4 linked regions of the Notamacropus eugenii genome follow. The protein of the gene in region 3 interacts with the protein of the main gene of each other region in a pairwise test. Links are inferred from orthologs where the notes say so. Each region holds a gene or a part of one and is shown on either strand. Other genes may lie near its edges. The genes, in order: PACSIN2, TRIM41, MEOX2 and SPRY1.

What was found.
Region 1: the proteins of MEOX2 (region 3) and PACSIN2 interact in binary tests that used the Homo sapiens proteins (3 or more experiments, as listed by UniProt). The two-hybrid records come from large-scale screens. The link is inferred for Notamacropus eugenii from reciprocal best matches to the Homo sapiens genes MEOX2 and PACSIN2.
Region 2: the proteins of MEOX2 (region 3) and TRIM41 interact in binary tests that used the Homo sapiens proteins (3 or more experiments, as listed by UniProt). The two-hybrid records come from large-scale screens. The link is inferred for Notamacropus eugenii from reciprocal best matches to the Homo sapiens genes MEOX2 and TRIM41.
Region 4: the proteins of MEOX2 (region 3) and SPRY1 interact in binary tests that used the Homo sapiens proteins (3 or more experiments, as listed by UniProt). The two-hybrid records come from large-scale screens. The link is inferred for Notamacropus eugenii from reciprocal best matches to the Homo sapiens genes MEOX2 and SPRY1.

What each region holds. Positions count from the first base shown.
Region 1 is NC_092874.1:301,774,939-301,782,392, reverse strand, and holds the start of PACSIN2 (protein kinase C and casein kinase substrate in neurons protein 2), read left to right. Parts: upstream 1-4,314; 5' UTR 4,315-4,503; intron 4,504-7,454.
Region 2 is NC_092873.1:80,977,053-80,984,930, forward strand, and holds the start of TRIM41 (E3 ubiquitin-protein ligase TRIM41), read right to left. Parts: upstream 3,301-7,878; 5' UTR 2,391-3,300; coding exon 1,590-2,390; intron 1-1,589.
Region 3 is NC_092874.1:8,791,065-8,798,390, forward strand, and holds the start of MEOX2 (homeobox protein MOX-2), read right to left. Parts: upstream 3,132-7,326; 5' UTR 2,703-3,131; coding exon 2,159-2,702; intron 1-2,158. UniProt on the Homo sapiens protein: Mesodermal transcription factor that plays a key role in somitogenesis and somitogenesis and limb muscle differentiation. Required during limb development for normal appendicular muscle formation and for the normal regulation of myogenic genes.
Region 4 is NC_092878.1:161,416,520-161,424,486, reverse strand, and holds the start of SPRY1 (protein sprouty homolog 1), read left to right. Parts: upstream 1-4,817; 5' UTR 4,818-5,932; exon of another isoform or gene 5,933-5,970; intron 5,971-6,656; exon of another isoform or gene 6,657-6,659; 5' UTR 6,660-7,709; intron 7,710-7,967. UniProt on the Homo sapiens protein: Inhibits fibroblast growth factor (FGF)-induced retinal lens fiber differentiation, probably by inhibiting FGF-mediated phosphorylation of ERK1/2. Inhibits TGFB-induced epithelial-to-mesenchymal transition in lens epithelial cells.

The sequences.
Region 1 (7,454 bases), about 290 Mb from region 3:
GCCTCCCATCTCTCTGCCCTGAGGTCCGAAGCATTTCCTCACAATCCCCTTGGGACTTCTAAAGTGCAGGCATCCACTTGGCCAGTGGTGCCTTTGGCCGGCTGATGTCCCAGGTCTGGGAGCTGGAAGCCCTTAGTGGGAATCTTGAGATCAGTCCCCAGCACCTTTGGAAACCTCCCTTTCCTCCTCTATAAAATAAGGAGGGTGATCCTTAGATGAGATAACGGGTTTGGCAAACTTGAAATGTTGGCTCTTTCTGTGGTTTATACTCCTTAGCTCCCAGAGTTGCTGTGAGGAAGCTGATTTTTACCTTTAAAAATGTGAGAGAAGGGATTATTATTGTTACAGATGCAAATGCATTCTACAAGCCTTAATTAAGCAGGGCTACCAAGTACCGATCTGGTGCTGGGGATGCAAAGTCAAAAATCAAATGTGGCGAGTGGTGAGACAATGTAGACCTGCACAAGGATGTCCAAAAAAGAAACAGATAAAAGATGTGGGAAGGGGAACCTGAGGAGGGTGGCCCCTGCGAGATGAGCCTTGAAGGAACCAAGGGCTCTAAGGGGGAGGGGAGGAGGAAAGGCATTACAAGCAAGGGACCCAGTTCCAGTACAATGGCAGGAGATGTGTGAGAAAGAAAAAACAAGTCTGCTTGGCTGGACTGACGCATTTGCAGAGGGAAAGCGACCAGCTGTTGGGCCTGGTTGGGAAGGTCTTTAAAGTCATCACAGAAGAGTTTTAGGTTTGATGCTGGGGATAATAGGGAATCACTGGAGGTTACGTAGGGGAGTGACATGGTCAGAATCAGGGGTGGCTGCATGGAAGCATCCCACAATTTCAATTTGTTTAATAAGCATTTATTAAATGCCTACTGTGTGAGCAATATGAGCAGGATTCAGGTATACAGAGAGCAGGCATCCCCAAGCCAGGAGGGTGGCATTTCAGAGCTGGCAGGGATTTTATGGATCACCTTGTCCACCTTCTTATCTTACAGAAGGAAAAAACTAAGGACCAGGAGAAGGGACTTGGCCAAGGTCACAGCTGAATCGGGCTATGTGGAGCTGGGAGGAGATGGGGGGGGGGGGGGGCATCTAGAAGCCAGTAATCCAAGTGTTTAAAGCCTTGAACTTTTCCACCTAGTTTAGAGGGTTGAACGGAAAACCCCAAAGGAGACAAAACAAAGCACTTTCACCCCCCTTCCCCAAAGGAATAGAATATCCTGACAAGTAGTTCCCCAGAGCTGAGCAAGGGGTGGGGGCTCCCTTGAAATTAGGCCAGGAGCCTTGCTGGCCTGTGCAGTCTCTGGGGAGCCCTGAACAGGGCCGTGGGCCTCTCCAGTTTCTCTCTCTGTTCTTACACCAGGAAATAATTGATACTCAACACCTGAATTCGCCTGCCTTGTTTAGCTTGTGGGTGTGGGCTGGGGAGGGAGCTCCCATTGGCCTGGGCACGAACACTGGTTTGGCCCCTGTGATGAGCAGTGTGGCATTCTTAGACACCTTACTGATCTGTGGCCTGTCCTTCAAGGCCTGCCTTGAACAAATCTCTCCAGCTTGAAGTGACCTCCTCATTGTGTGACCTCTGTCGATTAGCAGTCAACAAATATCTGTTAAGTCCCTGCTATATACCAGCTACTGTGTTCTGTTCTTTCTGGGCACACAGAGACAAAAATGAAACAGTCACTTGTGCTGCTTATGTATGTGGGGGATATACCAGGTCGTTTGAGGAAGGGAGAACACGAACCCCTGGGAATGGGGTAGGCCAGAACCCAGAGGAAAAGGCCTTCAAGTGGTAGAAGGTGGTGTCTCAGCTCAGACCCCAGAGAGATCTGGGAAACTCAAGTGAGGAGAGCATTTCAGCCCTGAAGGGACAGTCCATGCAAAGGTATGGAGGTGAAAGATCAAGGGCAGCAGGAAGGTATGCCAGCGTGTGGCCTGAGAGTGAGGAGGGGGTCCAGTTGTGAAGAGCTCTGAATGCTCAACTGAGGCTTTTAGTTTTGATCCTGGAGGGTAATAGGGAGTAGCTGGAGTTGATAGTGGGAGAACAGGGCTGGAATGCTATGGTCAGACCTACATCTCACAAAAATCTCTTTGGTGGGTGTGTGGAGGATGGAGCCAAGTGGTGAGAGACCAGAGGCAGGGAGACCAAACAAGACTGTTGCCAGATGCACATGCTGGTCTCCAAAAGTCTTAGTGTAGTTTTAATATTATTGATAGCTTTAAGCTTAAAATGCCACTGAGACTTTGAGGACATCCTGTATAAACTAGGAAGTTTGAGGGCTTCCACTGACCTACAAAGTAGCTGTGGAAGCACTTTACAAAAGAAGCTCTATGAGAATTAATAGCCAGTATATTTTACCAGGGGCTATACAGGTAATGACTTTGCTCCCACAGTCTCAGTTCTGTAATGCTTGGTAGTTGACAAACTACCTACAAACTTCCTACCTACAACTCTGTGAGGTGAGTACTGCAGGGATTACTGCCCCCCCCACCCCCCGTTTTATGGATGGGGAAACTGAGGCTCTGAGCGGTGACCTGACTTCACCATTGCCATAAGTGGCTGAGGTGGAATTTGAATCCAGGTCCCCGGCTCCAGATCCAGTATTGTGTCTGGACACTAATATTTGGTGGGTGGTTGTCCTGCAGGCTGGCCTCTCAGGAAGGAGGGAAATCTTAACTTGACTTTCCAGCTTGGTATAATTAATTCTATTTGACACCTCCCCCACCTCCCCACAAACCTACACCTGCATTAGACACAGCCTCGAAGTGGAAAGAATTTGGGTCCCTTCCCTGAGTGCCTGTTTCCCCATCTGTAAAATGAGAGGGCTGGACTTGCTCCTTTCCAGAGCTTAGGAATTTGAAGAGTAATAGCTGAACTTTTTACAGAGATTGAATATTTGCAAAGCACACATGATCTCATTCAAGGCTCACCATGGCCCCATGACCAGAGTAAATCCTAATTGGATGGATAAGGAAACTGAAGTTCAGAGAGACTGTCACTGGCCCAAGGTCACAGTACTTGAACTTGCCTGTCCTTGAAGGAGAAACTGAAGCCTCAAGTCACCTAGTGAGAACAGGAAGCAGAACTGGAATTGGGATGAGATCGGAGCCTCCTGGCTGCTAGGCTGGAGGGATTCTGACCTCATGGTAACCCTGGGAGAGAGGTGCTGCTAGTATCCCCATTTTACAGTTGAGGAAACTGAGGCAGAAAAGGTGAAGTGACTCCAGCAGGGTCACTCAGCTAGTTAGCGTCTGAGTTTACATTTGCACTCAGGTCTTAGTGATTCCAGGCCTGGTGCTCTCGTCACAATGGCATGCACTAGCTGCCATTAAGTGTAAGGACAATCTTGCTTTTCTGTGTTAACTCTGACCTTTCTTCTGTTCATTCCTCTGCATTAAAAAAAAAAAGTTGATGCAGGCTTCTGTCTGCCTTCTTCCCTCCCTATGTTCTCTGGTCGTCCACTCTCCTTAAAGGAGAAAGAAAAGAAAAACCAAGTCCTTGTAACAGGTAGGCATAGTCCAGCTAAACAAATTTCCACCTAGAGTGAGACTTTCTTGAGCCCCTACCGTGTGCGGGCACTGTGCTGGGTATGGGGATTACAGAGAAACCGATTGATCAGTCCACATTGGTGAAGTCCCTGCTATGTGCCAGGTGCGGACCTAATCAATGAATATTTGTTAAGCCCCTCCCGCGGGCTGGGCGTGGGGAATTGAGAGAAATGAATCAATCTACATTTATTAGGCACCTACTCCGTGCTGGGTACTGGGTACTGGGCACAGGGCTGGAGCGAGTGCAATGCAAGTTACCCACCAGGTAAACGAGGAGGGGGGCTCCGTGGCGCCGGCCTCCGCCCTCGGGGTCTTCACTGCCTCCCAAGAAGTGGAGGGGCAGCCTGGGGGGGTTCCGGGGGTCGGGGGAATCACGTGCTGGGCGAGGGTCCCCCCGATGCCCAGCGCAGGCCGGCTCAGCCCCACCTGGGGTCCCGACAAGCTCACCCCACTGTCATTCTACAGAGCGGGAAACCGAGGCCCGGGGAGGGCGGTGACACCGGGGCTGCCCCACGTAGACCGGGCTCTGAGCCCTTAAGAAACTGTAACTAACTAATCCCCGCCCCCGCCCCTCGCCTCCGGCTGGTTAAATAGCAACCAGCTCCGATCGACGGGGAAACCAGCCAATGGGTGCTCAGAGAGTTTCCCTCTGGCGCGCCGGGGGCGTGGCCTTGGCTCCCTCGGCCCCCGCTGAGCGGGCTGTCCAATGACCGGAGGCAGAGCCGAGAGGGGGCGTTGCCCCTCGGGCAGATGGCCAATGGGGAGCGGGCAGGCGGGAGGCAGGGCCGGCTGGGGCTGGGCTGGGCAGCGGCGGGCGGGGAAGTCAGTTGGTCCGTCTGTCCTTCGGTCCGTCGGTCCGTCAGTCCGTCCGTCCGAGCGAGCGTGAGCAGGGCCGGGAGGAGGCGCGGGAGGCCGGGAGCGGGCCGAGGCGGGCTGTCTGCGGCCCCGGGCCGAGGTGAGGCGAGGCGGCGGGGCCCGGCCGGGCCGGGGACCGTTGGGGGAGGGGGGAGGGGGAGGGGAGGGGGAGAGGAGGAGCGCGGGCACGAGTGGGACGGGCACGAGCACGGGCCCCCCCGCCGCGCGGGCGCTGCGCGAGGCCGGGGCCGGGACTGGCCCAAGGTCGCCCGGGCCGGCGGCGGCCGCAGGGGCGGGACTTGAACCCGAGCTCTCCGGGGCTGCGATGACCAGGGCCGCCTCCTCGCCCGACCCGCGGCTAGGCACGGAGGGGGAGGGGCCGGTGCGTTTTCCGGGGTTTGTTGAACTCCCCGAGTTCGGGTCGGAGTTCCTAAAGCGCCTACTGTGTGCCAGAAAGGCAGCGCCCTTCGTTCCAGGGAAGGTTCATTAGGCACCTACTCAGGGTTGGGGGGAAGGGAGACCGGAAGAGCCCTTCACTGAAGGGGCGCCTTGGACCCCGCAGGTGAAGTTCCGAGCAGGTGCAGACGCGCGCCCGCCCCGGAGCGGCCCCCCCGGAAGGGAGCCCCCGAGTTTGCGGGGTCTAGCCCCGCCTTAGACTGTGAGGGAAACTGAGGCCGGCAGAGGGGGCATTGCGTGTTCAGCATCCGCAGTGAAAGTGCCGGTGTATGTGCGTATAACGTATGTCACATACGTGTGTGTCCACTTTCATATTTACTCCATGTAGTGAATATGTAACTAATACAAGGAGGTTTTTATGTTCACGCCCACCCGTTGTATAGGCGTGTATATCCACTTTGATATGTTACGGATATAATACGTGTGACTAAATAGTAATTATGTAATAATTATCTACATATTCTCTCCAAACACACACACATATGGGATGGGGCAAAAGAGGGAGCCAGTCTAACAGAAGAGGAAAGCAAGGATGAGAAATGACAGCTCCTTCTCCCCCCTCCCCCAACTTACAAGGTTGTGGTTGGGTTTTTTTGGGGGGTGAGTGGGGATATTGGCATGTACACAGCTCATTGCACACAACGTAAAGAATGACTAAGGGGGCCTTTGTGGGAGACACTTGAGAGGGCTGAAGGGGAAGGGGTTCCTGGGGGTGGGGTTCTCTTGGAGGAGCAAGCTGCTGGATTTGAGGTGAGGAACCTGGGTGTGTTAGTGGCATTGGGTGAGCTGGAGAGGGTGATGATTTAGCTGAGGGAGGGGTGTGGGGAGATTGTTGCTGCTTGGGACGGGCCTTCTTTGGAAGGGCAGGAAGCTGGAATCTTTAATAACTTGCCCTGGGAGCCTGGCCGGCCCTTCTGCAGCTGGGCTTATTTTCAGGTCCCCTGGGGTTATCCTGCTTCAATAGCAGTCCCTTGTTCTCCCTCCCTTTCCCCTTCTGGGACACACTCTCCTATGTGTGGGAGGGATCCAAGGCCTCCCCTGCTGTCTGCGATGGGGGCTGGTGGGGAAGAGAGGGCAGTGAGAAAGCATCAGAGGATCGACTGAGTGGTAGCCTTTCAGAACCCTGGAATTTTCCTAAACTGCCTTTGATGGAAGCCCAGGGTGCCCCATTGATCTGCCACAAGTGGCACCCTATTTCCTCCCTCCTCCACCCAGAAGGAGTGCATTTGTACCATCTGCGGTGTGGAGCATAAACTTGTAGTGACCCCCCTCAGATTATCTAAGATTCGGTCTGGGGGAGGAATTGGAACCTTTCCTAAGCCTAGCCGGTGCTGCCCTTGGAGGGACTGAGGGAGAGCAGTGCACTGGAGGTGAGTCAGGCCCCCTAGGAGAGCTGCCTCTTCTGCCCCCGTCCCCTTCCCCATTTCCTGGTGGCTGAAAGTCTCCACAGTGACTTGTTTGTCCTGTTTACGAAGCAGCCCAGGCTCTGGGCTTTCCCAGAGGTGCTGATGATCATCCAGATCAGCTTGAAGCATTTCAGCAGAAGCTGCAGCAGAACATTTGCTCCTTTGTCCCCCTCCTCCCCAGCTTCCTCCTTTGCACTTCTCCTGAGGAGCTCATGTTGTCTCCCCTCCTGCAGCTTGCAGGGGCAGTGCTGGTTGCCTTCACATTCCCTCGTCAGACTCGTCCTTGTATGGTTGCCAGGGTTCACTTACTATTTCCCTTGCTCAGTATGGGAAACTTTTCTTCTGTGCAAATATAAATTCAGTCCTAAACCTTCAGACAACCTTGGCAGGGTTTGCCCAGGCAAAATCGGAGGCCAGTGGATCGAAAAAGTTTCTTGCGTGGTGCTTTTGGGGGCACAGTTCTCCTGCATCTTTTAGAAACCATGAAGGACCATTAAGATGGATAATACTTATTACTTGGGAGAGGTGACCTAAGCTGGAGAAGTAGATCAGTGAGTGGGTCTCTGGAATCTTTCTGCTCTTCTAGAATCAGATAAAGACCAGCCATAACCAGTCTTGCTCGCTGTTTTCCGGAGAGGTATCCACGATCTTTGTTGTTACCTCTGAGCTGAAGTTTTTAGGAGGCCACATAGATGTAATGAGCGATGGAGAGGGAGATGGATTAGTTTTCAGGTGGTTAATGAATGTTTCCAGCTGAGTTCCAGAAACCCAGTCAAGGTTACAGATGGCCAGTCCCCATTCCTAAGTGGGAGAGCCTGGGCATTTGTTCCAGAGCTGTTCATTTCTTCTGTTTTTCTTCTTTTCTTAAAGGTACATGTTTACTGAGTGCTTAGTTTGTCTCCCTGGAAGCCAGAGGATAGAACTGGTGCCTCTGATTTGTACAGGGACAGTTTTGGGATATGATGGGACATTACAATGTATGCATGAGTTCCTTGACTTTAATAGTTTGCTCGATCCATTCTGTATTATTTAGTGTTCCTTTCTTCTCCAGTCACACCATGACTGATACAGGGTTTCATTGTGACCTAACACAGATCATACAAGTCATGCCCAACTTTGCTCAAGTGAGAGTATCGACTTGGTTATTTCCAAACAAATAGAGTGTTGGAGAATGCTGAAGAGCAGCAAG
Region 2 (7,878 bases), on a different chromosome or scaffold from region 3:
AGAAATCCACTGAGAGCTCAGCCCCTGCCACATTATATGCATTTATCCTCTATCAATCTTCTACTCTCACATTTTGCCTCCCCCTCTTCTCTCTCCTCTGCCTTAGTATTCCAATGGTTACTTAACAGTACTTGTAAACTCTGCTGGTGGTCCTCAAAATCAAAGAGAATGAAGATTCCATGAAGGAAATAATTTTTCTCAGTAGTGGAATTGTATTTACAACTTTTGACAAAGTAATTTATAATAATTACAGTAATCAAGTAATTCACAATTATCAATCTGTTATAACTACTTTTATAAGTTCCTATCTGTCAATATGACGTTCTAACTGATGGAACAAAGATTGTCAAAGGCAAGAACCATGTGTTGAATTTTGCATCCTTCTCTTTCCTTCCCCAATCAAAGTCCAATTCAGTATTAAGTACAAGTCTCCACAAATAAAAGAAACTCAAAAAAAGTTGCCAATTGAACTAAAATTCAGGTCTAGGATTCTGCTGGGAGGCATGCCTGGAGAGAATGGGCAAGTACTGAATTTATTCTCAGAACCAATATTAATTTCACATACCATTGTGGAGAACCCAGTTCAAAGAAGTATGAGAAATACAAAGGAAAAAGTAAAAAGACTTAATCCCCTTCAGGCAGTTTACAATTCTAGGTTAGGTGCGGGGATCATGATGCTGTGAATTAGATAAACCCAACTTGGCCTCAATGTACAATTCACTCTATTATACAATTAATTCTTCATTGCTAAAGTCCAACAACACAGCCAAGTCCTAAAATAAATGAGGTGTCAACCAATCTATAAACAGAATTCAAAGGTGGGATCTCAAAAAGCAGCTACTCAGGAAAAAAATAGAGGTAGGCTAATGTTGAAGCAATAAGGGTGCTAACATTCTGTCTCCTGCTTTATAGTATAAACTATCCAATTACTTTAAACTAGTCAGCAAGGCCAGAGAATGAAACAGGTGTGGTTTTGAGGAGCTCCCCAACCTCATTAATTATTCCAGATTTATACCTGAGAGATGAATAATTATCAGCTTACTTTTAGCCTGAAGTGTTTCCCCAATTTTTCTCCTAAAATTTCTCTCTCTCCATCCCTGTCTCTAGGAGGTCTCTGAATCACTCTGTCAGGGCCAGGGTTTTCTTTGGTTACTACTACTACTTACTACTACTACTACCACCACCACTACTACTACTGCTAAAAACACCTGTGAGGTGACCCACAGAAAGCAGCAGTGGTCTCCCTGGCAATGTGACATTGTGCCCAGAATATTATGAGGACAGCCATCCCAGTTTCTACCATGCGAAACACCTACCTCAGAGGGTTGACTGAAGGATAAAATGATATTTGTCAAGTGTTCAGCACAGGGCCTGGCACCTAGTAGGTACTATATAAATGCTTATTCCTTTATTCTCTATATTATCCTCCTGTTTCTCTAGGTAGGCCTTCTCTAGTATGAAGCGGAAGTGATAAGGTTGAATGTGGGATGAGATCTGGCAGGGAAAGGGCAGTTACCCTCCTCTACTCCCCCTTCCTGACTCTGCTTCCTTTCTACCACCCCAAGACTGTGTCCCCTTCTCATTCTCACCTTGTACTCCTGCACCACTTCCTCCAATGGCACCACACTGTGTTGCTTGTGGTTTCTCGATTCCCGGCACACCACACAGATAGCCTCCTCATCCACTTCACAGAACAACTTGAGAGCCTCTTGGTGCTTGGGGCATACACCTTGTTCGTTCCCCCGACTTCCTCTCCGAGGGGCTGGGTGCATTTGCCGAATGACCTGCACCATGTTGGCCAACTGTAGGTTGGGTCTAAAGCTCCTACGGGGAAAAGTCTTCCTACACTGGGGGCAGGTGAATCTGCGCCTAGGAGCAGGGGTTGGTGGTGGAGGGGTGGCTGGCTCTAGCTCTTCCTCTTCATCTTCTTCCAATACCTCCTCATCTTCATCTTCTTCCTCCTCCTCACCCCTCAGCTCCTCTTCCACATCCCCCAGGTAGTAGTCCAAATCTTCCTCTTCCTCCTCATCCCACACATAGTCCATGTTGTCCCAGGTGGGGCCATTGATGCTATTGGTCCAAAACTCTTCATCCTCTTCCTCCTCCACTTCTTCCTCTTCCATATCCCCCTCGTACTCATCCTCTCGCATGGGGGTGTCCCACCCACCACTGGCACCCACTGCCTCCACCTCCTCTTCTTCCCCTTCATCTTCTTCCTCCTCCCTCTCCTCCTCATCCTCTCCACCCCACAACTGGGTCACACACACCCTGCAGAAGTTGTGCCCACAGCCAATGGACACGGGATCTGTAAAGTAATCCAGGCAGATGGCACACACTGCCTCCTCTTGGAGGGTCTGGACTGGATTGGGTGCCATGGCAACGGCAGCCATCTTAGTCTCAAATCAACCAGGGAGGGTTATCTGCCAAGGGCTAGGGCAGGGAGGCCAGGAAAACGGAAGGGGGTGGGAAGAGGGAGATTCTTCCTTTTTGATTCTACAACCAAATTCCCTTTCTGCCCCCGTTTCTCTTCCCCACTCCCAACGGGGGCCACAGAGGTGCCCTGACCCAAACACACACTGTGGCGCACCTGCGCGCGCACGCACACGCACACGCGCGTACACACACACACAAACACAGTTTTTAGCCCCAAGAAAGCGAGGAGCTCTAATTTACAAACCTAATTGACAATAGCCTTTCCCACCCACTCCCACCCCCATGCTGCAAAAGGGACAAATGGCACTATTTCGGGCCCTCCCGGACTGTTTCCTCAGTCTGGGTACTGAATGCAAATCCTACCTAACTCCTCCTTCCCCCTCCTCATATGGTTCCCTCCCCTCACCCCTAGCTCCTCCCCTTAACTTCCTGTAATCTTTGCTTTACTTCCGGCCTCTTCGCACGCCCATTTCCTTCCACCCGGGCCCTCCTTGGCTCCTTATGTCTTGGGCTGCCCCGCCCCCTCCCTCTCCTCTCTTCTCCGGCTCTCGCGCTCTCAGCTAACAGGAAGTGGGCTAAAAAGCGGCTCTCCTATAGGCGCCCGAGGCGGAAGAAGGGGCGGGAACAGAAAAATCCGGGTCTCTATGGTACTTAAGGAGGCCGGGGCCGTCGCATTGATTGGAGACTCTTCCCCCTCCCCCCCCAATGAAAGACACAGGTTGGAGGGGGGGAGGGGAATAGGAAGGGCGACGCTCTAGGCCATCCGTCGAAGCGTCTTCCAACTTCGCGTGCGCCGTTGCTACTCTAGCCCCCACGGAGGTCTTGGGCAGCTCCAACCAACAGGCGGTTACCGGAAATGGAGTGAAGTTGTGGGAACAGGAAGACCAAGAGGAAAGTTTTACGCCTGCGTTCTTGTAACCTTCCGGTCTTTCTAGCCCAGGAACTTTGTGGTCAGGAGGACTCTAGACGATTCCATAGAGGAGGAATTTGGGGGGAGGTCAGTCGCTTCTAAAGTGAACCCCCACCGAAGGACAGTGGGTCTGGCAAGAGTAAGACTGCGGGACTTAAAAGACATAAAGTTGCAAGAACTGTTGGGTCGATGTTCACTCCCCCTTTGTGAAGGGCTGGGTGTGAGAGCTTAGAGTACCCAAAATTTCAGACTCCAAAAGAGTCGAGCTTCGAGCCAGTAGTGAAATGTGGGCCCGAAAGCAGGGATGACATTTGGCCGATGGTCCTAGGTACCATGAAGTCCAATCTGAAAAGAAAAAGCAAAAAAAGATCCCAAGGAGCGGTTCGGGACGGCGTTTCCTTTAGATTTGGACAACTGATACTGAGCTACTCTATAGCTGCTTAGGGCTTGGGGGATAACAAGCCTCGCTAATTAGTTTCCGTAGTGTAGTGGTTATCACGTTCGCCTCACACGCGAAAGGTCCCCGGTTCGAAACCGGGCGGAAACAGTTTTTTTTTTTTTTTTGGTTGGAAGTTACTTTAGTTGACTTCTCCTTTTTCAAGTTACAGCTTTCTCTGTGTATTTGTTACCATCCTGCTCCTTCTCTCCTCCCACTTACTATTAATAATTAGGTAGCCCACAAAAGAAATAAGCCTAGAATGGAAGAGAAAAGAAACATCAAATCTGCTTGAGCCAGTCAAGAGTCCTAGCCTCCTGGGACATATGGGTCAGAGTCGTTTTTCAGTAGCCCGGCTAGCTCAGTCGGTAGAGCATGAGACTCTTAATCTCAGGGTCGTGGGTTCGAGCCCCACGTTGGGCGGAAGTTTTTTCTATCCCCTTTCTCCTACGAAAGAGAAACATGTTGCTCACCTGTTTGTTTTTTAAAATTTTCTTCCCGTCTCTGTTCTCTTACTATGAAAAAGAAACGTTGCTTACCTATCTCATTCTACTCTGTCCCTTTCATTCGTCTATCTGTTTTTGTATTTTTCTTCCTGCCTCTGTTCCCTTATTTCTCCTCTTGTCCCCCTTTCAGTTGCTCAGTCTTTCTTTTAGTTCTCATCACTTTGCTTCTGCTTGCACAAACCTCAAGACTTCGAAAATTAAGATACAAAAGTCTGAAATCTTGGGTGCTCTAAGCCCTCACATCTACTCTTTCTTTCCATTCATTCCCTTCCGGAACGTAAGGGTAGAGGGGAGTTCGGTGTAGACAGCGAGCTGTGGGGCGGGGGGGTCTTCGGGGGATGGAGAACAAACAGGAGAAACAAGAGAATGGATTCAGGTAAAGCACAGGAAATGAATTACCCTTTCAACACTTGGCAGGTGACTTCCTCTTCTGCGAATGCGCAGAAAAGGGAAAGGGAGGCGGCGGGAGGAAGATGAGGGAGGGAGGGGAAGGGACCTCGGGGTAAACGGAGAGCATCGGAAACTGGAGCTGTGGAAGGAAACCCAGGGATGCAGGGGGCTTTTCTCTTCCCCCTCCCCCGCTTTCCCCTCTCAGATTCTGTCCAATCGCTGCTGGGTTTAGGGACCCAGGACTCCGTGCTCCCCACTCCCCACCCCATTCCCCATCTAGCGCCCTCTCTTCTCCAGGATCCTGAGCTCTGTCCATCCTCAGCTTCGCTAACTTGGATCCGGGGCATCAGGTTTTCAAACCTTGGTCAGTCCAGAAAGCCAGCGCCTGGCCTTTCCTAAAGCAGGTGCTCATTGAGAAAGAGAACACGAGGGGAGTCTGGAAAATCAGGTTTCGGGTTTGCAAACCGTAATCCTTGGGCCCCGGAGCCTGATCAGAGTAAGCCTTCGGGGCTGAGGATAGATAGATAACCTAGGGCTGGAGAAGTGAGAAAACCATTCAATCTCTTAGTCTTTTCATCTGAAAAATGGGAGGTTGGGCTAGATGATTTCTAAAGTCTCTTCCCGCTGGAAATCTATGGTTCAGTCAACTGCCAGGTAGCCGGTCAAAACCAAAACGTCATTCAAGATGACAATGGGGTTCCTTTCAAATTTCTCTAATCTTGTCTCCCCTAAAGTGAATTGGTTAGGTTCGGGTGCTCATAATGCTATAGCGTAGGTTCAATCCATGTTTGTGAGAGAAATTGTTATTTCTCTCTTATATTAACAACCAATTATTAATTGAGATAAGGTTTCCTCTTTCAATTTCCTCATTCAGATATAACCCTTTGAATAATGTCGTTGAAGGACATTGCTGATAGATAAGATTGCCCAAATCCTCAGGATATATGCTTGGTTGGAATCCCACCCAACTACAAAACTTTACATAGAGAATCTAATCTATATGAATTTCTGCCCATTCTGCTCTATGCAGGCAAGCTTGCGAGGGGGGTAGCTGGAGGTGTGTTCGTCCTTCGTTGCTGAAGAAGACCATGCCATCAGAGAAACAATGACATGACTTAACACTTGACTTTGTTTTGAGGGAGGGAGGGCTGTGCAGGTCACCAGCCTCACTTCTCCCCCAGGGCCATCTGAATCCAGTGACCAGATATTCTTCAGGATGACTGGAGATGACCCAGGATGAGGCAATTGGGGTTAAGTGACTTGCCCAAGGTCACACAGCTTGAGGTGGTCTTCGGGGAGAGGAGTAAGAGTGACATCATTATCAAAATCACGTACCCCAGCCCCTCATTAGAATAGGCCCATCTGTCATTGTCTCATTAATTAATAACCAGTCAGAGTTTATTTCCGACTATGGGGAACACTAACTTTTCTGAACCCGTATAAACCTTGAGAGGCCTCCATGATTTCTCTTGGTTCACTAGAGAAATTCCAATGACCATCCTTTTATTAATTATTTGCTAACTATAGTCAATAAAATTATTAATTACCAAAAATTGTCTCTTGCACTTTTTAACTGCATCATATTGGTAAATGAATAGGTAAATGAATAAAATTCCAGTTCCAATTTCTGTTTTACAGTTTCAATAAAACAGAACTAAGAATGATATAATCCTGATTGTGAAAGGAGGTCATGGTGGAACTCCTTGGTTGGAAGAAGGATTCCCTCAACCTTAGACTATTTCTGCCAGCTGGAAAAATCAAATATTGAAGATACTCATACATTATTTATGGAACCTTAGGATATTTGTCTTTCCATCTCTGCTCCTGCCTTCATATTAACATGTTCTCAGTTCCATGACATAGAGATTCATACCCTTAGTATTTATGTGTTATGAGAAATGAGAATTTCTCCTTAGTATTTAATAACTAATTATTTTATTAGCCCCAATTCAGAAACCAATTGGGTAAATCTCCAATATCTAATCAGACAGAAATTCTAAGTTTGGATTAATGGGTGCATTACTGTTCCTTGTGTTGGCTCAGACTAGTGGGAGGGTGGGGAGGAGGGGGAAATGTTGATTCTCCTTTGTCAAACAAGTAATAGGGAAATGGATAAGTCTCTGACCAACATGTGAGTGATCCAAGTCATGTACCCCAAGACCTTCATTTTAATAAAGTCCACCTCCCATTGTAATATTCATTTTCTCATTGTTAACTAATCAGAATTGGTTGCCACCCCTCACTTACCCTTGGAAGGCTATATAAACTATGAGCCCACCATCATGAGGGAGGGATCTTTGGTCTAAGAGAGATGACCATCCTTTTTATTAATAAATATGCTGGCCTTATTAATAAAATGATTAAATTATCCAGAAATTATGTCTCGGAACTCTAGTTCCATTTTCATAAACTCTGAAATTCCTTTATCATAATCATTCATCATTCCATCTGTTCCCATGCCGTAAGACATTAATCTTGATGTTCAACCTTAAGTGACTTCCACCACTGCCACCTGACAGAACTTTCCCAGGCTAGTATCACTTCTGAGCTACCTATATACTCCTTCTTTTCCTATCCAGACTCCTTGATGAACCAGTTCAACTTTACTCTTTAATCTCTTGTCTCTGTCCAATCTGAAATACTTCCTTGACAAATTCTAACCCTGGATCACTCCCACAATCTGCCCCATTTGCTTATATTCATATGCTCTTGAATTAAAGCTAGATCACTTGATTATGGAATCTGTACCTAATTAATGGCTCTTTGCTGGCTGCCTACAAACACACTCTTGTTTCACCTATTTAAGAAAACACAAAATAAACAAAAAACCCTCTCAGCCATTACACCATTTGGGCTAGCTAACCTCCTTATATTTCCCCTCCTCTTCTCAGCTAAATTCCTTGAGATAGCCTCCTCCATTCCCAGTTGATAAATGGTCAAAGAATATGAACAGAGAGTTTTCAAAGGAAGAAACCCATGCTATCAATAGCCATAGGTAACAGTAAGCACTCTAACATACACAGGGGAGCCTGCTATCAGAGGCTTTGATCTGCTTTTCTAAAAGGAAAGACAGTTTTTGAGGGGTTAACAATCTCTTTTAATCAAGCACATATATCATTCACTTAGTTCAGGAAATCAACAGACAGCGCTTCCAAACTGTCTGACATAAGAAATACATATATCATAAATCAACAGACAGGTCC
Region 3 (7,326 bases):
CTTTCTCCAATCAAAATAATTGTGTGTGGGTGAGAAAGAAAAAAAATAGCCCATTGGTTCAGATCGGTAAACAAAAAGAACAATTCATCCAATAAACTATTCATTTCCAGAGTTCCTGGTGCCTAAATATGTGACCTAAAATGTCTTTCACTTACAGCGATATAAAATATTGTGTTCATAAGAGACTTTTACAAATTCTATAATGTCTGGACTTTGAAGGTGCCTGCCTTCTCCCCATGTCCAAGGAAATAGGTATAACAGTAGGTTTGATTAATATTATTATTTGTCACCATTTTAAGAACATTACACCTGATTTGTCCAGTCCACCAATAATGTATGAGAAAATGGATTTTTTTTCTTCTTGGATAAAGAAGCCCTGATGTGGGAAGGCTATGTTCACTCCTAACACTCAAAAGAAGGGGCTAGATTGTGAAGTTGTGACAGGATGATTTACATCTGCCTCACAGCCTCCTTGAAAAAGTCTCCTTCAAGCCTAATGCTGAAGAACATTCGGATCCCACATAAAACACTTTAAGCCCAAGATCTCAAGTCACTTTGACTTTACTATAGTTTTGGTAATTTTTTTAAAGCTGATAACCCATAAAATGAGGGGGGTGGGATACATTTACCAAATGATTGTTTAAAAAAAAACAAAAACATCATGGCAGTCCTTAGATTCAAGAAGAAAATAAGGTGCCTAGGCTTGCTACCGGAAATACTCCAAGAATGCCTTACCCAAAGATCGCTTACTAGTTTTCTCGCTGGCTCTGGTGCTGTGAATTCAGCGGTGAATCTTTACAAAGAGTTAGAGATACTTCGCCTTGCCCTTTTCCTGTCTGACAGATCAGATTTCCAAATCTCTTTGCTACGGCTTCCCCATCGGAGCAACCTTGAGTGCCTCAGGCTTGGATTTGTTTTTTGTTTTTTGTTTTGTTTTGTTTTGTTTTGTTTTCCTGAACCCTGGGTAAATCGGCATGTGGCAACACTCTCAGCTTTTGGACAAGACCCCCTCTGTTTGTCTTCTGGGTTCTCACCACTTGGGAAACAACTTTCCCTGTTGCGGATACGAGAATTTCGTGCTCCAGAAAGCACCCCCTTAATAGCGACCAATATTAAGAAACATTTTTCCCCCAATACACGATTAGTTAACTGGGCAACTACTTTTTGGAAATCCACAAAGGGCGTCCTTTACATATAGACTCAAGTGCAAACTTCAGACTTTGGAAATTGCCCCTTACTCCCCAATTCTCAGGGATCCCCACTTTTTCACTTTAGGAATCTTGGATTATTTAAAATATTCTTTATTCAGAATAAAGGATATATGTTTGTTTTTTTTCTCATGAACTTTGCCAGGTTCTACTGCAAAGGTTCCAAAGATTGCACAAGAATTTGGAAATCCAGTTAAGTATAGGAAAAGGGGGAGGAAGGGCTGGCTGGTGACTGCCGAGTGAGTCCGAGGCAGCCCCACTAAGGGCCCGGCACCAGCAAAAGCGAAACAGAGACTCTGTTCCACAAATCTCCCTTTTTAGCCTAGAGAAAATGCTAACTGAGCAACTGAGAGTAGGCGCTGTCACGTGCTCTCGAGTTTCCCCTAAGCCCCAGATGCCAGCAGAGTCCCTGCCTCAGTCTACGTAGCCAAGGGTACTGCAGCGAGCGTCTCCACATAATCCTAGATAGCGGGAAAGGCTCGAGGAGTTCTGACCATGGCCTCGCGAAGTTGAGAGAAGTTCCATTATACTCATTGGCTGCAAGTCTACCGCGCTTTCAACACTCAATAAATACGTCACACGTTCTTGTGTGTATGTGACTGTTCGTCTATGCATCTGTGACTGTCTCTGCGTATGTCCTGTCCTCCTGTGTGTGTCAGAGAACCTGCCTGTCAGTGCCCAGACACCTGAGCGTGTATGGGTCTGCGCATCAGTCTCTATAGCTAGTCACTTGTATGTCTCTGAATGCGTCCGTCAGGGTACTCTTCTGTCTGTTGGTACCTGTGTGCTAGTCTCTGTGTGATTTGTGTGTGTGTGTATGCGCGCGCGCGCTGAGCCTCTCCCTCTGGAAATGAGCCCAGTTGCCCACGCTGGCGGTGCCGGTCCACTAGGCAGCTGGCCTAGCCCACTCCCAGCGAGGAATCGCCCTGAGCCCCCCGACGGCTCCTTACCTGAACTGTCACTCTTCCTCTTACCCGCCCTCTTCTCCGCGTCCCCGGGTGACAGCGCCTGGCGCCCGTAGTCCCCTGGCGCGCACGCCGCTCCCGTGGGCGTGCTGGCCCCCAAGCTGCCGGACGAGGCGCACAAACCCTGGGCACTGCCGCCCAGCTCCGGGCCTCCGCCGGCGTCTGGTTGTAGGCACAGGCTGTGGCGGGCGGCGGCGGGCGGCGAAGCCAGGGGCGGGAGGTGCCAGCTTCCCTGCAAAGCCTGATGCTGAGGCGGAGGTGGCGGTGGTGGAGGCGGCGGGGGTGCCTGGGGGTGATGGTGGTGGTGATGGTGGTGGTGGTGGTGGCCGCGCGGGTGGTGCTGGCTGGCGAACATGCCCTCCTCGTTGGCGTAGCCAGTGATTATGCACGACGAGGCGGAGGGCGAGAGCTCTGGGTAGGACATGTGGTCCGAGCGGCCGTGGAGGGCCAGGGATGACTGCGAGAAAGGGTGCAGGCCCTGCGCTGTGCCGTGCGGACTGCGCAGGCAGCCGAAGAGCGGGTGCTCCATAGCATGCGAGGCGCGGCTGCTGCCCGGCGGCGGGAGCTTGCGGACGGACGCCTCCACCTCCGCTGTCCTGGGTAAACCAGCAATGTGCTCAGAGCCGCAGCCTCCGGTCCGGCCTCGGGCTGTCCCGCTTGGCCCCGGCCTGCCCGGCTGCGACGGGACAAGAGAACTCTGGAGGGCTGAGTCCGGCGGTGCGTCTGTCGGACCGGCCGGCCGCCGGCTGCGCCAGCCCCGGGAAGAAGCAAGAGAAAGAGAGGGAAGGAGGAGGAATCCTCCCGCTGCGCTGCTGCTTTCGGACGCTCGGATGTCAAGGGGAGGAGGGGGAGGAGGACGAGAAGGAGGAGGGGGACGAGGAGGAGGAGGAAGAGGAGGAGAAAGGTGGAAGCCAAGAGAAGGTGGTCCCAGAGAATGCTGCCTGCCTGCGAGGGGGAAACGGCTCCGGGAGGTTATAAATAGAGTGTAATGTGAGCTGGGGGCTGGCTTAGGAACCCCGCGCTGACCACATGCGGACTCCCTCCCAAACTGCCGCTCCGCTCCCCGCCGGCTCCGCCGCCGCCGCCCAGCCTGGGTTCCTCGAGCCTCCTCTGTCCACCTCCCCCAGCCCGGGTAGCTCCTGGGTGGCACACCTAGCTGGGCCCCCAGGGAAAGGGGGGGGACTGTAGTTTTGATAGACGGCCCCAGGGGAGCGCCCCTATACATACATTCATATACACATGCAAACACTCACATATATTCGCACACACATACACCCACACTTACACACCCACACACAGGCGCACACCCATTCTCACGCCCACCCGCTCTCGGATCCTGAGCGTACGAGCCCACGAAAAACTGGTGCAAAGTTCCACTTTGTTCTTTCCGGGGAAATTTTGTTTCTGCTTATTTGTTACTTTGTTGGAAACATTGTTGCTATTCATGCACATCTGCATGCACATCTGCAAATAGGCGCCGCTGGGAGAAGCTGTGTAGCTGCGCTAGGGTAGGAGCCGACAACCTGGCAGTGCCCTAGTTCTGCAGGCGGAGCCAGAAGCTGGGGCAGATGCTGCTCCCCGGAGGGGTCGCGGGAACCGTGCCATACTCTCCTTTTTCTGGGGTCAGAGGGGCGTATAGTTGATGGGTCACAGAGTAGCAGCCCTGTCTGAAGTTGCGGGGTTGACTGGACTTCTGGCGGAAATAGACTCCTATCTCAAGGGGAAAAGAGGCTGAGGAACCGGGTGGGAGAGGGAGGAAGTGAACCTTAGGCGGAGTCAGCCTGATCCCAAACCACCAGCAACCTCACCTGCAGTCCCACACCGGGCTGAGACAAACAGCCCTTTGTGCGAAGGTCTTTTTTTGATCCGTTTGCCTGAATTCTCTAGAAGAATCAGAAATCAACTAGTCCTCAGTGCAGAGATGTGTTTATAGTATCCCCAGACTCAGCTCAATGCCTCAGGAGAGGTTTCTCCCTTTTTATCCCACCCTACTCTGAAGAAAACTCACAAACCTTCAAACTCGGGTTTGGTATATGGAGAACGCCGAGACTCCACTCCCTCGGCTCCCCAAGGAGGGATTGGGGAGGGGGGGGGGCGGTTGGCCGCTCCTTCTCGGGAGCTGAGGATACAGATGTTTTCTACCTGACCAATTTTTATTTTTCATTTTCCAAGTTGCAAGAAACTCAGAGGTCGTCTGGTCCATTCAGCCTTAGAAACTTACCTTTGCGGGAAGTTGGATGGGAATTTTCTTCTAGTGTGTGTGCGTGGGGTGGGGTGGGGGGAGGGAGGCAAATAACCCATGAACACACCCTAGACACTTCTCTGATCTACCACCACCACTTCTGGGTGCTAACCTCCCCTTTAAGGACTGAGACAGGGCAATGGATTCATAAAGGTCACAGACTGGGTGGGAAGAGTCTGTAGAAGTATGTCAGACCCTAATCCGAGCTGTAAATACTCTTCCCTATCTGGGCTCCTTCCCAAGATCTGAGCCTGACGGCAGTCTCAGGAAAGAACGTGAGGGCCTCAGTATTCTCGTTGTCTCAAGTGTCCCTCCCGAATAGTGATGGACCCAGAATCTTTGAAGAGGAAAGAAGAGACACTACGATAGAGCGGACATGCGGCTTTTGTTAGGAATACTCTCTACCATCCACTCAGGGGGTTCCCTAAACTTCACTGAAGCCCGACTTGTTCCATCCCTGTACTCCCTCACTCCTGTTTACGCCCCTTTTACCTTTTAATCCCTGGGACAATTTGTGGGCTGCCGATGGCCACACAACCTCAGAACCATGTGAAAGATAAAATTATTATCCTTGGCTGGGGTGGGGGGGGGGGGGGGACCAGGAATTCTACGATTTGTGAGAGCTGTTTTCTTAAACGGAAATTGAGCCCTATTCTGAGGGAAATTAGTTTTGCAGACTTTGGTTTAAAAAAAAAAAACCGAAAACTTTTGTCCACCAGCTGCCTGCCTGCCTGCCCTGCTCTTTAGGGCAGTGTTGGTGAGAACAGGGAGCTGTAGACGGCCAGGGACCAACGGTAAGCCAGACGGGCCCTGACTGATCTGAGGGAGACCCTTCCTCGTGATGAGGCCCTCTACTCTCCCAAAAGCATGGCAAGGGTGGAGGGGTACCTACTACTCCCTTCTGAGGGGAGAGGGGACTATGGGCTGGGCCCAGCGTATGAAGGAAAGGGAGGGGGCGGTTCGGTTACCATCGGGGTGGAATATTTGTCTGATTTCTCCGTGTGTTTATGGTTTCAATATGGGCTCTGATATTAAACCTTAAAGTACAAAGGAAAACAAGCTCACCAGGACTCTGAGCTTGGTTAGCCCTAGCTAGCCTGTGGGCAAAGGCAGGGGGGTGGGGAGGAATTAAGAAGGTGGTCAAGAGAAAGCTTGGCACCCCAATCCCCGCGCGGCACCAAGAACATTGGGAAATCGCGACTTCCCACTTGGTACTCTTCAATCCCAGGGAGACTGAATCGGATCCGCACCGGTTGAGAGCTGTGTTGAGCTCTGGGAGCGCTGAGAAGAAAGAGACTAGCTCGTATGCCCCAGGGTTCAAACCAGAGAGTTCTCATGCTGGAGAGTTAGGTCCTCCTAGAACAACTGTATTTCAGGTAAACCTAGTCAATTAGCACCAAGAGACGCCTGCTTGACTAATTTCTCCTCTCGACTGTCCTAGTACTGAGCTGACTTCTCTTCTGTCGGTCTCCTGGATCAGGTGTTAATGGATGGCCTATGATAGGGTCCTGAAATTCTCAACCAACCTGCCCCTGTCAATCAGTCGTTAGAAGCAGCTGGCGAAGAGGCTGGAAAGGGAGGGAGGGAGGGAGGGAGAGAGAGAGAGAGAGAGAGAGAGAGAGAGAGAGAGAGAGAGAGAGAGAGAGAGAGAGAGAGAGAGAGAGAGAGAGAGAGAGACAGAGACACAGAGAGACAGAGAGAGAGAGAGACAGACAGAGAGAGAGAGAGAGAGAGAGAGAGAGAGAGAGAGAGAGAGAGAGAGAGAGAGAGAGAGAGAGAGAGAGAGAGAATCAAAGGAGCGAGACACTCTCCCAGTCCAAAGCTTAAGGTGAAGGTGTGGGGAACTCGAGAGATATTCAGGACCACCTCTCCACGCGTAAGTTAGCTTTCTAGGAAGGCTAGAAGGCTCTTACAGGAGAAATGCACGCAGGTCCTTTTCCACAAGTTACAGGAAACTGAACTTGAAATGAATTTCATCGTTTCCTGGAGAAAATACTAAATATAAATACAGATGTGCATATGCGCGCATATATACACATAAATAGGAGCATGATTTTTTTAATGTCACTTTTAAAAATTGATCATGTTTGGAAGTAAAATCTTTTGATTTTTGGTTATCTCGTAATTTCCCCATTCGGAGAAATCTTTCTTTGTGGGTCTTATATAGTATGCATGTATGTATGCATGTATGTAAATACAATCAAGAGTAAGGGAGAAAGAAGAGACGCACAGCCGTACTTTCTATTTTCCCTCTCTCCATCAGTTACAGAAAGCAAAGCAGAATGATAAAATTCCACTCGAATGGCTAAGGTATCCCTTTCAGTGTCTGAGAGCTGTGTGAAGTTCCCGATCACTTCTATTAATTTTGAAATGATAGGATGCTTGATTTATTTATTTATTTTTTGGCTCCCATGTTGTGACTGTTTCTGCAAAGTCACGCTACGGAGACTGGCATAAATATGGGCATGGAAATTGTAAGTTTTCTGTAAATATTAATTGAAAAGAAAAAATAAAAATCTCTGAGCCTCAGTTTCCTCGTCTGTAGGATAGCGGTAACGCTGGCATTTCCTGCCAAAAAGGAAAGTGCTTCGTAAGCTTGGGAAAAGAAAGCTGTGGTAAGGATTGCTGCAGCAATCGAAGCTTTTTAATGCACTCAGTTCCCTTTGTTTCTGCACTTCCCTGACAAAATCACAAAAGGAGATCACAGGCCAACAACTTTATTTATTTATTTAACAAAGCTCGGAGACCATCATCTGGTACGTCACGAGATGCTTTGTTTACATGACGATTTCAAACCGCTGACCTTGTTAGAAAAAGAATCCCAGCGATCTTGAACGTGGGGAAGATTGTTTCTTTAAGTAGCCAAGTGTTGCAGCCTCGCACCCTACATAGGCAGCACCATCACAACCCA
Region 4 (7,967 bases), on a different chromosome or scaffold from region 3:
ACATCTATACAACCTTGGAAAAAGGGGTGGTTGGAGAAGCTGACATATGAACAACACTCATCTGAACTGGTCAGTGGAGATAAGAACATAAACAGGTGACTACAGAAATACATTTCATTCAACAGGGAAATAGGGAAAGAGAAGGGAATTAGAAGGGTTGATTAAGGGAGGAATTAGTCTTAAATAAAAGAAACTCTAAGAATTTTACAAAAGTATTCACGGCTCTTTTTGAAATGCCAAAGAATGAATGAGAATGGCGGGGTGGGGATTATAAATTGGGGAATAGTTGAACAAGTCGTGATATGTAAATATGATAGAATAATAGCTAACATTTCTATAACAATATGCTAAGAAGTTTATAACCATTATCTCATTTGACTTTCTCAACAACCCTGAGTAGTAAGTACTATTATTATCCTCACTTTACAGATGAAGAAATTGGGGCAGGCAGAGGTTAAGTGATTTACCCAGAATCTCATAGTTCATAAGTATCTGAGGCTGGATTTAAACTCAGGTCTTTCTGACCTGCTCTGACCACTGTGCCACCAGAATCCTTAGCTTTCTTTAATTCTCCGCTCAGGTCACCTCCTCTGTGAAGCTTCTCAAGATCCCACCATTTTTAGCACTTTTCCCTTTCCTCAAATTACATGATAATTAATTATCTTTGTAAATGTTGTGTCTCTTCCTATGAAGTAAGTTCCTAGAGGATAGGAATTTCTCCTCTCCTCTCCTCTCCTCTCCTCTCCTCTCCTCTCCTCTCCTCTCCTCTCCTCCTCTCTCCTCATCTCTTCTCTTCTTGTCTCTTCTCTTTTGGTCTCTGTTTATCTTGTATGTAGCCCAGTTCCATGAACATCATAGGCTCTTAATAAACATTGAACTGAATTTGAATTCACTAAAATGCCTAATTTTCCTAAATTTCTCTCAAGGGTGTAATCCCAAGTGAAGTGACTGTCCCAAGGCCACACCATTACTAAGTGATAGAGCTATGATTTGGAACCCAGTCTTCTCACTCCAGATCTTGTGCTCATTCCATTATAATAGTGACTTCCAAATAGTTTTATTCCATACACTTAATTTATGTTCAATTATATTCAATTATTTTACATTTACTACACTGCATGAAAAACTTGTCCCTGATATGTAACTAATAACTATAAAATTGTAAAAATAGAGGTTGAGATATAGATAGAATATTCTTTGATCCAAGTGGAAATAGGGAGTCGCTGGACTTTACTGAAAGGGCAGTGATGTGATTAGAGCTGACTTTTAGGAAAATTACCTTGACAGCTATGTGGAGCATGGTCTGGAGTGGGGAGAGAACTGAGACAGGGGTGGCTATTACAATAGTCCAGGACAGAGGCAATGAGGGCCTCAACTAAGGTGTTGACAATGTGAGTGACAAGGAGGCAGATGGAAAAGAAAACAAAATTTGACAATTGATTGGACACATAGTGTGAGACTTAGGAGTCACCAAGGTTCTGAACTTTAGCAACTGGAACAATGGTGATGTCCTAGATTGAAGTAGAAAAGAGAACCCTGCTATGAATTCCAGCTGCCTTCTGCTGCATGGATCTTCAGAGGTATTCCTACTTTGACCCTTCTGCCTTTTAGCAGAATGAGGATCAGCCTCTTGGGCTCACCAGTTAAGCTTATCACCTCTAACCTCCAGGAGCCATTCCTTCCTTGGGAAAGCAATCCCATGCTTTCAACTCCATGGCAGCCCCGGACACAGAAGCCATATGGTCTGAGTGGGGGAGAGGTTTTTCTTGGTTTTGTTTTTCTTGCAATACTAAATTCAACAGTTCCATTTCTTGAGTAGGATCATAGATTTAGAACTGAGAAGCCATCAAGTCCAACCCTCTCATTTTACAGATAAGAAAACTGAGGCAAAGAAAAGCTAAGTAACTCATGAAAGTAAGAAGTGGTAGAGCCAGCATACTACCATAAGTTCTCTAATGCCAAAGTAACTTCCTGAATGTTCCTGAACCTGTAATCTAGACTTCTAGTAAAAGAAGGGTGATTACTAATACTAATACCGATAATAATAACTCACATGTATATAGAGCTTACTTTGTGCCTGGCACTGTGCTAAGTGCTTTACAGTTATTATCTCATTTCTTCTTCACAACCACCCTGTGAGATAATAATAAGAATAGCTAATATATAGTAATAGCTAACGTACCTTTTGACAGACACTGTGCTGAAAACTTTACAATTATGATCTCAATCTTCACAACAACACAGGGAGGTAGGTGCTGTTATCATCCCCATTTTACAGATGAGAAAATTGAGGCAAACAGAGGTTAAAGTGTCTTGCCCAAGGTCACATAGCCATTTGAGGCTTCCTGACTCTAGCACTCTATCCAGTGCACTGCCTAGCTGCCCAAATCCCTTAAATGTTTCTTTAGCAATGACCTCGGGAAGCAAATGCCTTGGGAGTTGCCTGCCTTTCTAGCAGTCTCAAATTTTAGAATCTTGGAATTCAACCTTTTGTTGAGATAAAAGAACTCCTGAGCAGAGCTAGCCTCTTTGTGGATGTCCAAAGTTGGGAGGAAAAGCAGCAAGGGACCATGGTTGTAATATGAGGAAAGAAGGGATCCAGATGTTGTACTCCATTATTAATAGGAGTCATTTGAATAGTATGGTTCAAATGGATATTGGGGTTGCTACTCTATTAAGTGTGTTTCCCTTCTACAGGAGTTCAATCAGTCACAGCAGTTCTGTGAGGCCAGATGCCTATATATCTCTTTCCGATGGCTGAAACCAACATGGTGCAATGGAGAAAGCACTATACTTGGGGTTTGCAGGACTTGAGTTTGAATTTTACTCACTACCTATTTGACTTTGGGTGAATCCTTTAATCTCTATGAACTTCACTTTCTTCATCTCTAAAATGAAGGGATTGGACTCATTGACTTCTAAGCATTCTTCCAGGGTAGGATCATTCATTGAATGGTACCTATTTATCATCTTAAAGGGTTTATATTCCGGAAGGACTATAATACTGCTGCAAAGCTGGATGCCTGTGGGATTCCCCAGAATGGCAGTTTTGCCTGTCTAGCAACCCGTCTTTCATTAGTTTTCTGAAGGAAGATTAACTGTAGGCTGCCACTATCAACCTGTATAAAACCAGAGTTCATGGTGCTGGACCACAGGTTACATATATTTGTTCCAGGAGGAAATTTTATGGGAATGGAAGATAGGGGAAATGTGGTATATTAGAAAATGATGGTGGTGCTATAAAAAAGAAAATCAAAAAGCATCATCAACAAAACAAACAAAAAAATTACTTTGTAGAGATGTATGTCTACATTTGACACCAAAGAATGGAAAACTATATGAGTCAACTTTCCCCACTATGACAGTCAATTTTCTGTGACCATGAATGACTCATGAATGATAATGAATGACAAGTCTGATTTATTTTAAGAGGCAGCTTGGTATAGTGGATATTGACCTCAATGCCAAAAATATCTGGGTTCAGATATTTCTTTGCCAGATAGTAGCTGAGTGATCCTAGGTGAGTCTCTTAGCTTCTCTGTGCTCTAGGTAACTCTCTTAACACCAGTATCTGTAAAGGGATTTTTCTGATTGGAATTTTCATAATCCAGTGAAACCATGGGTCTAGTCACTATCAACACTATTCATTACTGCAAAAGCAAATTTTTAAATATATATGTTCTCTTGAAAAAATCATTCATTCCATTTATTTTCCAAAATTACCTGTAATTTATTCAGAGAAACTGATTTTTTTTTTTTTTTAAAGAAATGTTTAGTGCTCCCTCTCCTGGCTTTGCAGTATCGGTGAAGTGGTGATCACATCTTTCCATGACTGTGATATACACTGAGTAGGAATTACTGGAGAACAAAATGAGATCCTGAGATGGGCTGAAATATTTCTTGTCCTCCTAGTAATAAATTTCAGCTCAATCAAAAGTGCCTAAAAATTAATATGTCTTTGGTAAAGGCAAATGCTAGCACCAAACTTTAGACTGATTCAAAATCAGAAAACTTCCCTAAGGGTATCATGTTGGGATTACTAAACTATGACTCCTGTAGCAGAACTGTACATTGCAAAGATCTTGGGCACATCCCAGAATTATGTTCACTCTGTTCTCTTTTGGAGTGATAACATTTTTATCCTACTCTGGGTAATTTGAAAACTGTCCCAACTATGGTTCCCAGAGTAGAAGCCGTTAGAAATCCAGAAGAATAAACACCACCATCATCAATATCACTTGTCAATGGTGAAAAAACACAATTTATAGAAAAGGTTGACGAAAAAAATTACAAAATATTTCTTTGAGCTAAAAATGTCCAAATCTGACTTTAGATAGAAAGAAGAATTTTAATAATAAATTAATGACAGTTTGTGTTTTTATTGTTTTTTTTTTTTTGCCTGATTCTAAGCTTGCTTGATTTCTTAAAGGGGGGGAAGTCTGCTTTTATTAAATATACTTTTTTTTTTAGTTTTAAGATATTACTTTTTTTAAAAAAATGATGAAGCAGTGACACTAAGACCTTATCTTTCCTATGGGCAATATGTGCTTTCCAGGGGGCTAGAATCTGTTTGATTGGGGGTATTGAAGGTTTTAAAATCTAAAGTTACCAGAAAATTAAAAAACAGTCTCATTTATACATGCAGAGAAAGTTGTTAGGTCCTTCAGCGACTCATATCAGATTACTAAGGACCATGAGATGCCATGGGCTACCGAGGGCTTTGGGGTTACATTTCCTACAAGCAGTACAACTTTAGTCCTCCCAAACTTGCAAAATCCGTGGTAAAGGACAGGACACAGCGTTTTTCATTACTTTTATTTGACCTTGCTTCTTAATATATTTGTTTTCAATCTAGGAAATTATATAATGCACCTGCCCTTTGAAACATCAAAAGTGTGTGTGTGTGTGTGTGTGTTTAGAATTCTGGTTTTTCTGAAACACTGAGGTCACATTCCGGGTGCTAGCCAGCCTCCAAACATGCAGTGAGGCACCTCTCTGGTAGCTTTGTGGTGCCCAGGAGAGAACGCTGAAGTTGGGCATCTGCTGAATTCTGTTAAAAATGAACTTTGCGCCGAAATAAAGGAACCTGGTTTTCAATCCCATTTCTTGGGCAGATCACTTAATCATTTAATCAGTCTACACGCGTTCATTAAATGCTTACTGTTTGCTTAGCACTATGCTCAACTCCTCAGAGGAAAAGAAAGTGGAAAAAGTCCCTGGCCTCAAGAAGTGTACATTCTAACGAGGTGAAGCCACGCTAATGACAAGGTGCGTAGAAGACTTTACAAAGAATGTATGAAGGTAATCGGAAGTGTGTGTGTGTGTGTGTGAACATTAACTACAAACTTCTCTGCCCAGTTAGTATTCCCAGGGACTATATAACTCAGATGGGCAACTCTCTACTTGCTCTGATGCTTTCCAAGCAGTTTCCATTGGCTTAGGGAAGACTGTCTCTGTCTCGTCTTTCTGTCTTTGTCTCTGTCTCTTCCTCCTTCCTTCCCCCTCTCTGTCCCTCTCCTCCCTCCCTCCTTCCCTCTCTCCTTCTTCCTCCCCCCTCCCGGAAGGCTCTGCAGACCCCCTTGGGCTGGAGCTCAGGGAAAGAGCTCCAAGTAGGGCAGCCTGCCTGCCTGCCTCGGGAGACCGAACGTGCAAGTGCATGCCTGCACCCCGTCCACTTCTGTAAACACCACGGAGGAAATGCCTGTCAGAGGAAATCCTGTTCCAGGTTTTCGAGCAGTTCCCGTGATGGACACATGATATCACTGGAGGCGGGCCTCGGCTCGGAGGTGGAGGTGGAGGCTGAGCGCTGAAATGCGGCTTCGGGGCGTGCGGGGCTGGCTTCTCCGAGGCGGGCGGTCGCAGGCGGCCGGGCGGGCAGGCAGGGCGCGCGCCGCAGTTCCAGCCCGGCTCCCGGAGTGGCCAGACGGCAAAGGTGCGTGTCTGGAAAGGCACTTCCAGTCTTGGCGTTAGGTAGGAGCCGTTTCCTCACTCTTCTTCCCGGGGCGCTGCTGGGGAGGGGGAATGCACGGGTGAGCGGGGTTGGCCTTGGCGGAGGAGGGCAGCGCTGGCTTTCCGCGCTCGCTTCCCCCCAGCCTCCCGCGTGGGAGCGGCCGGGACGGACTTGCAGCCTCTGCTCACCCCGCGAGGTGCCGGGGCCGTGTGTGTGTGGGAGCCTCCAGGTCTGCCCGGGCTCTGGGCATGAATTCCAGGGCGCGGACCCCTTTTCCTCCCACCGTGTGTGTGTGTGTGTGTGTGTGTGTGTGTGTGTGTGTGTGTGTGTGTGTGTGCGTGTGTGTGCGTGTGTGTGTGTGTGTGTGTGTGTGTGTGTGTGTGTGTGTGTAGGAGGGGGGTTGAAGAAGTGTCCCCGGGACCTCCCTTTGCAGTCCCTGCTGTCGAAGCGGGCGGGGGGTGCGGGGGGCGCTGGCTCCCGGGTGAGGGAGCTGACTGACATGCATGCCTACGGGGCCGCTGTCAATCACTCGGAGAGCAACAGCAGGCACATGGTAGACAGGCAGGCTGGCTGGCTGCCTAGCTGGGGGCCGAGGGAACGGGAGAGGGAGCCCCGGCCCCGGCCCCTGCCCCTGCCCCGAGCCACCCTCCGGGACAACCACGCATTTTACTTAATGGGCTCTCTCTCGCCACTCTCTTCTCCGCAGCAGAGTAGAACGTGGACCTGGAATGCCGAGCGAGCAAGCTGAAGCTGCGCCCCACTGCCTGCTCCTGGGCCTGAACTGAGCCCAACGAGCTGAGGCGCTGGCACGTTGTGCCCACCCTAGAAGAGCTGCTGTGGAGTGAAGGAGGCAGCGTGACAGCATCCTAGCCTGGGCAAGAGGAGATCTAAAGACTCCACACCACAGGACATCCTGCCATCGCGACGTCGTGGGGTTATTCGGAATCCCACCCCTTCCCGCAAAAGAAAGGTGGGGGGAAGAGAATACTCCCCGAAGTGAAATCCACCGAGACTCTGAAGAACTTTCCAAAAGGAGTCTCAGGCGTATCCTCGCTGGACCCCTCCGTTGCCTGCCTGCAGACTAGCCAGCTGCATTCGGTTGCTGTTGGCATCTTTGGGACTGACTGGGAACGCCGCTTTGAGATCCACTCTGCATCCAGGGCTGAAGACTGCTCATTCCTCCCTCCACCCCGCCCTATTTTGGAATTCTCAGCATCAGAACTGGGGAGATTTGAAGGCTGAGAAACCTTGCCGTCAGAACTGCCTTTAGATCCAAGGATCTTGTTCCTGCAATAGGGAGAACCTCCTCGTTCTAATCCTTCCCCTCTCCCCTCCTCTTTTTGTTTTTCTTCCCCCTCTAACTTTTTTTCGGGAGACCCTTGGCAAAGCTCGGAGCAGCACTCTACCTGCGGAATCCTTGCTAGACGGAAGCCCCTTGGAAGGGGGTGTTCACTCTGCTGAGAGGCAGAGAGCTGGGCTCCTCCAGAGAATTGCAAGCAAGAATTCTCTCCTGCAGCCAAAAGGGGGCCGGGGAAAGGCTCCCTCCCGCAGCCACAGCAGGAGGAGGAGGCGGAAAGAGGAGGGAGGGGGAGTCCTTGGGCTCGCTAACCCTCGCCTCGCCTCAGTTCGGCTTTGAGGGGATGCCGACCGCAAGCCCTGGCAGCTCTGTTTAATGCTCGTCTCGGGCGCTTGGACGCGCAGTGGGTCTTACGCGGAGCGGGCTTGGACGAATTCGCCCCTGGTGACCGCTCCGAAATCGGTAGGTGGGCTTCTGGGGGGACCGCTTTCAGCGCCACGGGGGTGGGGTGGAGAATTCAGGGGTGCACCTGAGCGCATTTAAACGCAGATGCGTTCTCTTGATGGTTTGGAGAGGAGGGCTCCCATGTGTAGAGAGAAAACTGTGCATGTTCGGGGGAGGGGGGGCTCCCCCAACAGGTGCAGCTCACTCCCAGCCTCGAGGGTAAGTCCGGTAGCCTGGCCTTGGCACCTGCTCAAGTGACGGGCCACTTCACCTTGA